2 linked regions of the Neodiprion lecontei genome follow. The protein of the gene in region 1 interacts with the protein of each later gene in a pairwise test. Links are inferred from orthologs where the notes say so. Each region holds a gene or a part of one and is shown on either strand. Other genes may lie near its edges.

Region 1 (4,944 bases):
AATACGATTCTACGACCCGTTCCATGTTTCATTGTCAGACTGTCATGTGACAGCAGTGAATGTTTACTTGGAGAGCTGCAATTTTTAAATTGGTGCACAAGCATCCTCTTTTTCGTAACACAATTTTTTAGCAATCAGAGCTGTCGCAAGATAACAAATTTACGCGAGTATAGTAACGTGACGCAAATCTACCCGCACAACATTAAGCTGTTTTCAGGCGTTCTTTGACAAGCGACCGACGCGCTAGGAATAGTGACCAAGTATACACTGCGGTAAACTGGGTTGCCTATCTTACGGTTGAAAAAACTTCCAACTTTCTTCAGCACACTACGAATAAATTTTGTGATGAATTAAAAAAAAATCTAACCGTAGATACTTGAAACTGATCGAAAATCTAACTATTTCATTCTCAGAATCACTAATCTCTAAACAAAAAGTGGGAACGGCTGGAAAAAATAAATCTTACGTTTTTCGCTGTCTCCTACAAGGAACACCAGTTTGCTATCTCACTTCTAATTCATTGCAACTCGTACATGTTGTAGAACATTGGAAACTGAAAATACCTATTTTTTTTTTCTTGTCGGCGGAAAAAACGATCTAAAGGGGTGAAAACGATCCCTAAATATGGGCACCCAATGGGGTCATTTCTATATGCGCTTGATATATTTTAATGAAACCAATGCTGAAATATCGATCGTATATGGGAATGAAACATTTCAGCGTTTGTTTCATTGAAATACATCAAGCGCTTCCATCCGGAACTGAGAAACCATCCCATAGAGTGCCCATCTTTGGGAATAATTTTCACCCCTTTAAACCGTTTTTCCCTGATAAAAACAAAATACGTGTGTTTTAGTTTACAATGTTCTACAACATGCGTGAGTTGCAACGAAGTCAGAGGGGGACGGCAAAGTGATGTTCCTTATTGGTAAAGTCGGAAAAAAAATGAATATTGATTCAGTCCTCATAATTTTTATGATTTTTACTCGAAATAAAAATAACGGGTCATTGAGGGTAAATTTTAACTCGGGTTTAAGCGATCCTGTCAGATTTGGCCGGATCTATGCTAATTAATTTAGGGGTGGAAAAGAACAAGTAGTCCAAAAAAAAAGGCGTGAACCTTGTCATCCCTGGTGGGGATCGAACCCACGACCTTTGGATTAGAAGTCCAACGCGCTATCCTCTGCGCCACAGGGACTCGACAACAACCCAGATCTCCGCGCGTTCATATTTTGTACCTAGTTTTTTAATCCAAGGTGGCAGCATCAGTATGTCTCTCCTGTGACGTCACTTGCTAACGTATCGCGCGGTCAAGAACCCTGCTCACTCAACTTTCGAAGACAATGTAAAAGATACCGTGTCGCGTGATTTAGAAACGAAAAATTTCTAGTAATTTTTGTTTCTAATTATTGGATTAACACGTCTGTACGTATGTTAACTGACGTGCACAAAGTCCGTATCAGAAATAGTTAATCGACGATTTTTGTACATAGCTGCAACATCCCAATAAAAATCGTTCGGAATGCTTCAACTGCATCCAAATGAAAACACAGAAATTTTCAAAAAGTACATTACTCTCCGTCATCGGCGGGACGATATTAGAAAATTTGTTGTACGACGGAGTGATGGGTGGTAATAAACTTTGTACGTACGCTCCTGCGCTGAGGATCGCAGTAAGTCAACACCGCGGAAAGCGCGAAGAAACGTGAAAAAATCGAAACCTCTGTCCGTGCACGGTGTGTGGGATGATAAACGTTGTTGCTACGCGGTTGAGATGTTGAAATTCGGTTAAAAAAAATGAATTATAGATCGCGCGAGGTTATAGTTACTAGGATATTAAGTGATAACGGTAAAAGAAGGGACGGTGTTTGACAAGTGAGAATTCGGGATGCGAGCAGCGGTCTGATAAACATGGCCGCTCGAAAACATATGACAAAGGATAAAGCGCTGCGCTGCTTTTCTAGGACGAACAAAATACCGACATTTGATTGTTGAAAAATTGTCAGATTTCGAATTCAGGATATTAAAGAGCCATGAATACGAATGGAGAATGGGGTCAATCGCTTCGGTGCTACAGTGGCATTGTTCAAAGTGTTCTCTCATAAACCCGACCGAGAGCACGAGCTGCGCCAGGTGCGGGGAACCTCGTAGGGTATACGATAATAAAACAAATCCCGAAACATCATCCCCGAGCAGTACAAATGTCTGTGAAAAAAATAATCCCGATTCCGCGAACTCTACGCCTCCAACACCGCCACCACGACTCAATTTTACGAATCAGTTAAAATGCTACATACCAAAAACTAGCTGCGTTTACCATCAAAAACCGTTCTCGTTCACCGTAAAAAATAACAACGTCGTTCCGTCTGGGTGAGCAATATTTATTTACTTTATTCTGACACTCGTCCCCATATTCATGCCTGGTACCATTCGACGTATTTCAACTCAAAACCAGTCAAGTCTACCTAACATTGTACATACCCACGCAAATTACTTCAAGTGTAAACAAACGACGATCTATTATAAAAACCTACATCCAGTATGGAAACAAAGGAACTGAGAACAGTACTCTTATAAGTACGAAAAATCAATTTTTTCGTGTATCGGACTGAACCGTACAAAATTTTTTACATTTATCGCTAATCAACGAAACACTACAGCTGATAATCATTTGATTCGACTTAACAATACAACTTATCAGATAATACTAGGGTTCGTAGATCGTTCGCTGTGTCTACGATCAAAAATATATTCTGTTCAGCTTACAATTTCAAAAAAACTTGCAAATTAATTTTACACCACTTTCTCAACTGACTGTACTCTACCTCTTTAACTCAAACATTTATTATTTTCGTTAGGAATGATCCCGGATCAAGAAGCTCGGATAAAATATCTCGGCGCAACTCTTGGTCTGGGAGGACGAGAATTGAATCTGTATCATTAAAACACGGTGTATCTGTACCTTTGTTACCTACTCGCTGGACTTGCATCAGATGTTTGCAACCAAACAGCCAAAGCTCAGTGGCCAAGTGTATCGCCTGTGGAACTATTTCCTTGCCCGCATCGAATCAGGAAGGTCATATTTGGACGCGGAAAGCGAGGAGACCCGAAGTTCGCAAACTTAAAAACCTTCACCTCAATGATGACGAGGATCCAGCTAAAAGTTCGTCTTCGGGACTGGAAGATGGTGTTTTAAATGTGGAATTCAACGCAACATCAACTCCTTCCAATCTCGATAAAACCAATAAAGGTAAACAAATACGGTGACATTGCTTACAAGAGTAGATCCCGGTAATAAATTTTTGTTTGAAATTTCTGTAGTTTTTGTATAATACTGTAAGAAATTTCTATTTTTAGAAAAAATTAATTTTTTTCTCATAAATCTCTGCACTACCTTTAAAAATTCTTCTCCCACATGTAATACGATATCACTTATCTTCTATGATGCAACTTCCTGATATAAATCTTTGAAGCGCTTTCTTTCTCAAATATTTTCGCATTTTCTAGACAGTCAATGCTGATGAGCTACTCGCATAGTGTTTCGGTGTGTTCATAAATAACAAAGGCACGGGTAATAATCATGTCTGAAAATGTCAGAGCTTTAAAACCGAGGTTTCTCAGAATTCTTTAATTTTGGTTTTAAAAAAGGCAATTGACCTTTGGTATTAACTCCCAATTTTTATTTGACTGAAATCTAATTAGAAACTAAAATATGGAACATTCTAAACGAATTGATTTTTTTTATGCCGTTTTAAATGGCATGTGATAATATTTCAAACGAATCATTCAATTTGTTCCTCATTCCATCAGGTGAAAAATATACTTACAGGATATCTATCTTGATTTGTTCATGCACAAACTAAAATGATGTAAAGAGCATTTATGTAATGCTTCACTAATGGATTATAAAACAAAATTGATTGATCATGCACATAAAAACCTTAATATTTACGATAAATTTTACCATAACTTAGAAGAAACAATTGTAATCGTGCTGTGTTTTTATCACAGCCAAGATGAAATATTTAATCATTATTCATTTATTGAATGGTAAAATCCCTCTCTGTAGTTTTGTAAGATTAATCGGTGTTCCCAGCCTTGCACTTTGAAACACCTTAGTGTGTCAAATTCTTTTTGGTACTTCACAATGAATCACTGACTGTGGTCGATTAGATTAACAATTTAGAGCTTGCATGTATCAATTAAACTTTCAAGAAGCAAGAGATACATTATTCGGGGCTCTTGATTATTGCTAAAAAAGGAGTTGATTTTTCAAACTCTTTGAAGATAATTTTCTAGTAACTTTTTTCTTATCCTAGACATGGCCCAGCTGACCAGCCTCGGTCGTAGTGACAGAACAAGGTCCAACCGCGAAAGTTGGACGCTACCTCCTGTCGAAACCATGGATTCGCCCTCAATGGCCTATACGGACAACATAGATAATTCTCAGCGTTCACCAAAGCGTCACAGTCCCTCGGTGTACGAGCGTGTGAAATCTAAAGTGAGCCGTTCATTGTCGAATGGTTCTGTTGTTCAAAAGTTATCGGAGGCTGGGATCCAAAGACCAACTAGTCTCATAGTTTCGGAGGTGCAACAAGACAATGCCTTGTGGAGCTGCGACAACTGTACGCTAGATAATGCACCTGGCTTGGAACAATGCGAGGCATGCGAAGCACCTAGGAGCCCTGCACCCTGTAGCGGCGTAGTTATAAGTGTACCGGCATGGGAGCCGAGAGCGCTTTCTTCTGCAGGCCTTCCGACATACCGGCGATCATTTTCGGAAGTTGACTCTGTCACTAATAATGTAATACAGAGAAAAACTGCAAACCGTCGTAGTTTAAATGATGAAGAACCTCCGGCTGTGCCACCACACTCTGTTGGGTTTAATTCAAAACCAAAGTATTCATACATAGGGATATCTGACCCAGAAACTCCCCCACCACT
Region 2 (5,872 bases), on another chromosome or scaffold:
GGTATGTATACCTATGTATCCACATACACCGTGTGTAGTTAGCATTTCTTGAATGAACGGTGAGTCGACGAAGTTTTGCAACGGTAATGTTTCGGGGCATAAAGTGCACCGGGAATTAATACACCGTTCCGAGTATCGCGTAGACTGGAGCTGGGAATGTTCAAGAAAACTAATAAAAGACACCCGTCACAACAGCTACAGCAATTGCGCAACAGTGTTTATTAAGAATCATCTTTCAGTAGTAGGTTTTGCGGGGGGGCGCAAGATCAGTGATTACACCAGAAACGAACCTCAGAAAAAAAAAGACAGTCTATTAAACGAGGATCGCTGGTTGGTTGTTAGTTCATTGCCAACATAGATAGTCAGAATTAATTTATAGACTTAGAACTAGGTAGTTGCTGAACGAGGTTAAAATTAGTAACGTTATCGTAACGTAATATTGAGCGAATGAATCCCTTTCTTTCTCAATTTTATAATGATTTTGAAGGAACTAAGATCGTGAAATGTGAGTGTGTTCTCATTTATTTCAGGCAATTTCAAAAGCGCGAAACACGGTTTTTCCTCAGCATGAATCGTTACGATAACGTTACAAAATTTAATACGATGTTGCTGAATAAATAAGAATCGCAAGATGTGAAGAGGGTAGGCACATGGAAACTACTTTCTAAAGTTGAACAACGAACGAACGCACGCAGGCTCAAGCCAGCACATCGCAACTAATCGTAAAAGCTAAGGTGCTCTCTCTCACTCTCTCTTGCTTACACACAATCAGTTTCCTCCGATCGAAAACGTGGCGACCGAGTTAAGGTGAAGCAACTGCCATGACGCAGGCCAACAATAAGATAACCCGAAACCCGCGTAGCAGCCTCGGATTGGCTGTAAGGGTGGGTGTGCAGCGGCCGCGCCTCCGAAACGAAATATATGCTATGCATTCGGATATGTGACGATTTTGTACACAGCTGTGTTCGCCCGAAGTGGGGAAAAAGATAACTCGACTGTTGCTAATTATAGCTGCGCGTGTAGCTTTAGATACAGTGTATGTACGCAGCTACGTTCCGCTCATGCATGCACGATGTGTCTACTCACGTTTATCAGACGCGCAGTTGACCAGTCGGACGAAACTATCATGTATTATGGGGATATGTTGTCTGGAAACGAAGACGTGCCGATCCTCGGCTCTTCGTGCTTCTTTCTACTCGGTATTAAGACAGGTAAAGGTGTCGACCACCTTCGCATTCGCCCGCTTCTCCCACGACGTACGACCTTCAACCCACTCCGTGTGTACGCCACTTGATATTTAATTTATGAGAACGAAAAATTCTCTAATGTACCGCGCCAGGACCACCGACCTCACTCGACGTGAGTCGGAAGCATACTGGCCAACTCAGGACGGCCTCTACCTCTTCTCACCGAAACCAGCCTGTACCCTGAACTTTGCCGCTTTTCGTGCGGTTTTAAGAGTTTAGACCTATGATTTCCACGACATCAATGAAGAGGTCGCTACTGTCTGTAGATTGGCGCAGCAGCGTCTATGAATTATAAAACTGAAATGGTGTCCTCGGTGTAATTACTGAGCTGTACTCCGCAGGTAACTGAGCGGTACTCTGTCAGTAACTGAGCTGTACTCTGCTGTATTTGGCGTCAAGGGAAGAGCAGAGATTCATACTTCGATTGGGAAAAAAGTATACCCGCGACTGCTGATTGATTGCTTCCAATCATCGATATCTTCCAATTAACTTTGCAATATGATTGCTTCGCAAAGCTGAAAGCAGGCTGACCGCCTGAATTGAAGGATGTAATTACTCAAGTATCAAAAATGTTGCAGTAGCTTTGAAACTCGAACGACGATGATGCAGCATATAAAAAATATGATTAGCAATAATAGTAGTCATTGAATCTCCCTAAATTTCTTCACAATTTAGAAAATATAATTTTTTCAACAGGTTAGAATTACGAAAAGTCATTGGACCTCGTAGGTGGCCACCTTGCGGGCTGAACTTGTTGTTTTAGCGTGTATTTGAGCGCGAAAGTTGCAGAGTGTTTCGTAGGGGAAGAGTCACATCGTTTAGAGGTATGGGCGAGTAGAATTTGTCGGAAAATTTCTCATAATATGTTACTATTCGTGAAATAAATTGAGGGCAAATATACCTAGATCGAGAAAATTACTTTTAAATTTGTGAAAGCCGTTAACTAGCCTCCAGGGTAAATAATTGTGATCAATTATACCAATACGCGGAATAAAGTCAGTTCAAAGAAGTCGAAAAATGGCCGAGAAAAGCGCTGATATTTTAGAGGAGGATAATTCTGTCACGATGCTCGATGTTCTTCAAGAGGAAAATCAACTAGAGGAAGACGCCTACGCCGTGCTGGGTGCTTCCGATGATAAAAATTGCACCTATAACAAGGTATTCAGCCGCACTTTGAGCTCGGAGTTAACAGATTTTAACCTTTCCTCTCTACACCACATCCTCGACAACCACTCATCAGACTTTGGTTCTTTTATTGTATAATATATCGAAGATATTTCTCAACGCGAGATAAATTTCATTCAAAGCTATATTTTTCCACTCGCCGTAAGTAAATTTTCTCCCCGTTTCAACGTATCCTATATTGTGCATTACGTATTCACGATGCCAAACACCTAACGCAGATGTATATCACGTTAATGGCAGAAATGTCAACGAATTTTATGTAAACAGTAAACAGTTTTCTTTTTTCGTCAACACAATCTTACATAGATTTTTCGGATCCTAATCGAATTTCTTGCTTATATTCTTGGATGCTCAATGCAAATCTGTCAAGATCTAGGTATTCCTCTTGAAATACACCAACCCAAATTTCCAGGGCTACATTCGGCAGGCACTTTATGCCTGCAAGACCTGTCGCGGTGACGGAAATCCCGCCGGAGTGTGTCTGGCCTGTAGTTTTCAATGCCACGAGGGGCACGAGCTGGTTGAGCTTTACACCAAGCGCCACTTTCGCTGTGATTGTGGAAATTCCAAATTTGGTGACAAAAAGTGTAGCTTGGAACTGGTGAGGATTCTTTTCTTACACGGCATGGTTGAATGCGTACCAATCAATTTTCATGCTCATTTTCTATTTCTTTCAGACCAAACTCGACACTAACGAAGAAAATCAATACAACCAAAACTTTGATGGCTTTTATTGTACCTGTGCCAGACCTTATCCAGACCCTGAGGATACTAGCGGAGATGAAATGCTCCAGTGTGTTGTATGCGAGGATTGGTATCACTCCAAGGTCAGAGAGTAGACGACTTTAAATGAACCGCCTCGCGTCAGCCTGAAATTTCTTTACAGTCATAAAATTTTAGAAATATGTAGGGAGAAGAGATTTCAATATCACTGTTGAATTTCTCTTTGTTGCTAGTTTTAATCTACCTTCAAATCCGTCTTGGGTTTGTACAGACTTCAGTTTTTCACAATTTTTTTTTCTTTTCACCATTTAGCATCTTGGTTGCGGAGATATTTCCCCTCCTGATGATTATGACGAATTGATTTGTTCTGGGTGTATGCAGAAACACACGTTCCTTTGGAAATATGCTTCGAAGTACTCAGGTAGATCTCACTTTAAGTTGAAAAATAACTCAATGCTATCCAGAGTTTAATCTAAAGGCTAATTTATTGAGGATATCATCACAGTGAATAGGGATGCGAAGAAGGACTCATCCAATGGAAAGGACGAAACTGTAGATGTCGAAAACGTTCCTGCAGGTTGTAAGATACCGCTAGAACCGCAATCAACGTCAACGGGTGCCTGTTTTTGGGCAGAAGGTTGGCGATCATCTTTGTGCACTTGCGACAGTTGCAAAAAGGTATACTCTTTTACTGTGAAATCTTCTAAAAGTTTCGCAGCCTTTTTGAAACATTATATTGTTCTATGTGTTCAATATTTACTTACGCTTGTTAGACATATGAACAAAGCGGTATCGAATTCTTGCTCGATCCGATGGACAGTGTCCAGGTTTACGAAGAGGCTGGAAAAGCTAGCCAGACTGAATCCCAGTATGAAAGAGGAATGAAGGCACTCGCCTCACTCGGTCATGTTCAGCAATTAACTGCTATTGAAGGTGAGGTCACGAATACACAATAATTTATTCAAATTTCCGATTCTTTTGGAATATAATAAAACAAAATTATTTTCCTTTTTTTCTCGATACTTTGTTAGAATTCAACAACATGAAGGAAAGACTCAAAGAATACCTTCAAAAGTTTGCCGAGAACAAGAAGATTGTACGCGAGGAGGATATCAAAGAATTCTTTTCTGGGATGGAAGCAAACAAACGTCAGAAGGTTGTTGTGCCAACATTTTGTCGTTGATTAGGAAAAAATAAAAAAAATAAGATCAATGAAAGGAAAATTAACAGATATGTGAATTTATAAAGAAAACGCAATATGCCCGCGTACTCGTATTTTATCCCATAATATTATTAGGGTCTTAAAAATTATTATGTATAATCATCTATGTGTCGTAAATATAATATTATAATTTGCAAAATCAGTATTTCTATAATGTATATTAATACTATTGAAAATTTACCTCAGGTTTTCCTCTCTCCAAAATTAGCTTCAGTTAGATTCGGTTTTTTTTTTTTTTGTAAAAGTTCTCGAGAATGGTATTTGTTAAACTAAAATAGTGCCGATATACGAAAAAGCTTAACACATACCTAATAATTACAGCTCTGAATCCCGCTGGAATCGCAAAACAGACGACGAATTAACAGGGGTCACTTCAAAAGAATTTCCCGAACAGAATTATCATCACGTAATTGTTTAAGCCATCGAACAAACAAAAATTAAGTATTATTAATCATGTCTAAAATTATTGTTGTTATTTTCGTTATCTTATAGCTAGGTAACAGTCGTTATGTTCAGTAATAAATAACAACGGATCTTATAAAAATATGTAACGTCTTTCAAAGTCTTTTTAAAGTATATTCAAGATGCTGCTTGTATATAATTTGCCATAAATTAAGGATCGGTAATGAGTGAAGATAAACGTTTGATAAATCAATTATAGAATTTCGTTTGTAATAGGAATTGCTATAAATTTCATTATACACATAAATTCAACTGAGCGATATTCATTGCCAAGTAATGCGATGTGTAAAAAGAAAAATATTACCTGTCGCTTGTTGAATATTCAAATTTGTCTAACATGCTAATTAATCGCACGTTTACATATTCACGCAGTAGTTATCGCGAATGTGATGCAGGAATAATACGCGATCTTTTTTAAGCCATCATCATAGCTTGAACTATCTTACAATTTCACAAATAATAAATAAAAGTTTACATTTAAACTATAAGTATTACCTGATATAATATTAGTCACATAAACTCTTATCATCTCCAGTTAAGATGATCTAAATGGATTCTGCATTTTGAGGCAAAGTAAAAGCACGTGAACAATTTATTTCCTATAATGTTATCTACTGTAGTTATTATATTCCAATGTCAGACGGTTGATTTTTTGAAACACTGATTGTGTTGTTGTTGTTGTTCAGTTGTAACGGTACCACCAATATCGGATCATTGCTTTTTGGATTGTCAGTATAGACGGACCAGGTTTTCTCAATGCAGTCAAATATACCTGGTGAAAATAATGAAAGGAAGAAAAAAATAGTTGATTACAAACTCCTTGGACTCGCTACTCACTGTATATATTGCACTCACCGACAGCGATAGTTGTGATGCCATCCTCGTTTCCGGACTCAAAGACTTTGAACTCATTATCAGTCTGATCTCCCAAAATATTAATCACATCTTGACGATTCTTGGGTGAAGGATGACGAGAAATTGCAGCCATTCTGCATTCACTGCTTTTAATAATCAAACCATCAACTTCAGGTAC

Evidence for each region.
Region 2: the proteins of calpain-D-like (region 1) and putative E3 ubiquitin-protein ligase UBR7 interact in a two-hybrid assay, tested with the Drosophila melanogaster proteins (2 studies listed by BioGRID). The link is inferred for Neodiprion lecontei from reciprocal best matches to the Drosophila melanogaster genes sol and CG15141.

What each region holds. Positions count from the first base shown.
Region 1 is NC_060265.1:8,932,798-8,937,741, forward strand, and holds the start of calpain-D-like, read left to right. Parts: upstream 1-1,684; 5' UTR 1,685-2,050; coding exon 2,051-2,370; intron 2,371-2,858; coding exon 2,859-3,250; intron 3,251-4,319; coding exon 4,320-4,944. UniProt on the Drosophila melanogaster protein: Has a role in eye development. Calcium-regulated non-lysosomal thiol-protease.
Region 2 is NC_060261.1:2,491,498-2,497,369, forward strand, and holds putative E3 ubiquitin-protein ligase UBR7, read left to right. Parts: upstream 1-1,973; 5' UTR 1,974-2,264; coding exon 2,265-2,405; intron 2,406-2,844; coding exon 2,845-3,033; intron 3,034-3,109; coding exon 3,110-3,259; intron 3,260-3,467; coding exon 3,468-3,576; intron 3,577-3,660; coding exon 3,661-3,833; intron 3,834-3,928; coding exon 3,929-4,088; intron 4,089-4,186; coding exon 4,187-4,338; 3' UTR 4,339-4,698; coding exon of another isoform or gene 4,699-4,704; 3' UTR 4,705-5,121; downstream 5,122-5,872. Other genes in the region: uncharacterized protein LOC107216708, read right to left, coding at 5,463-5,611, 5,695-5,872.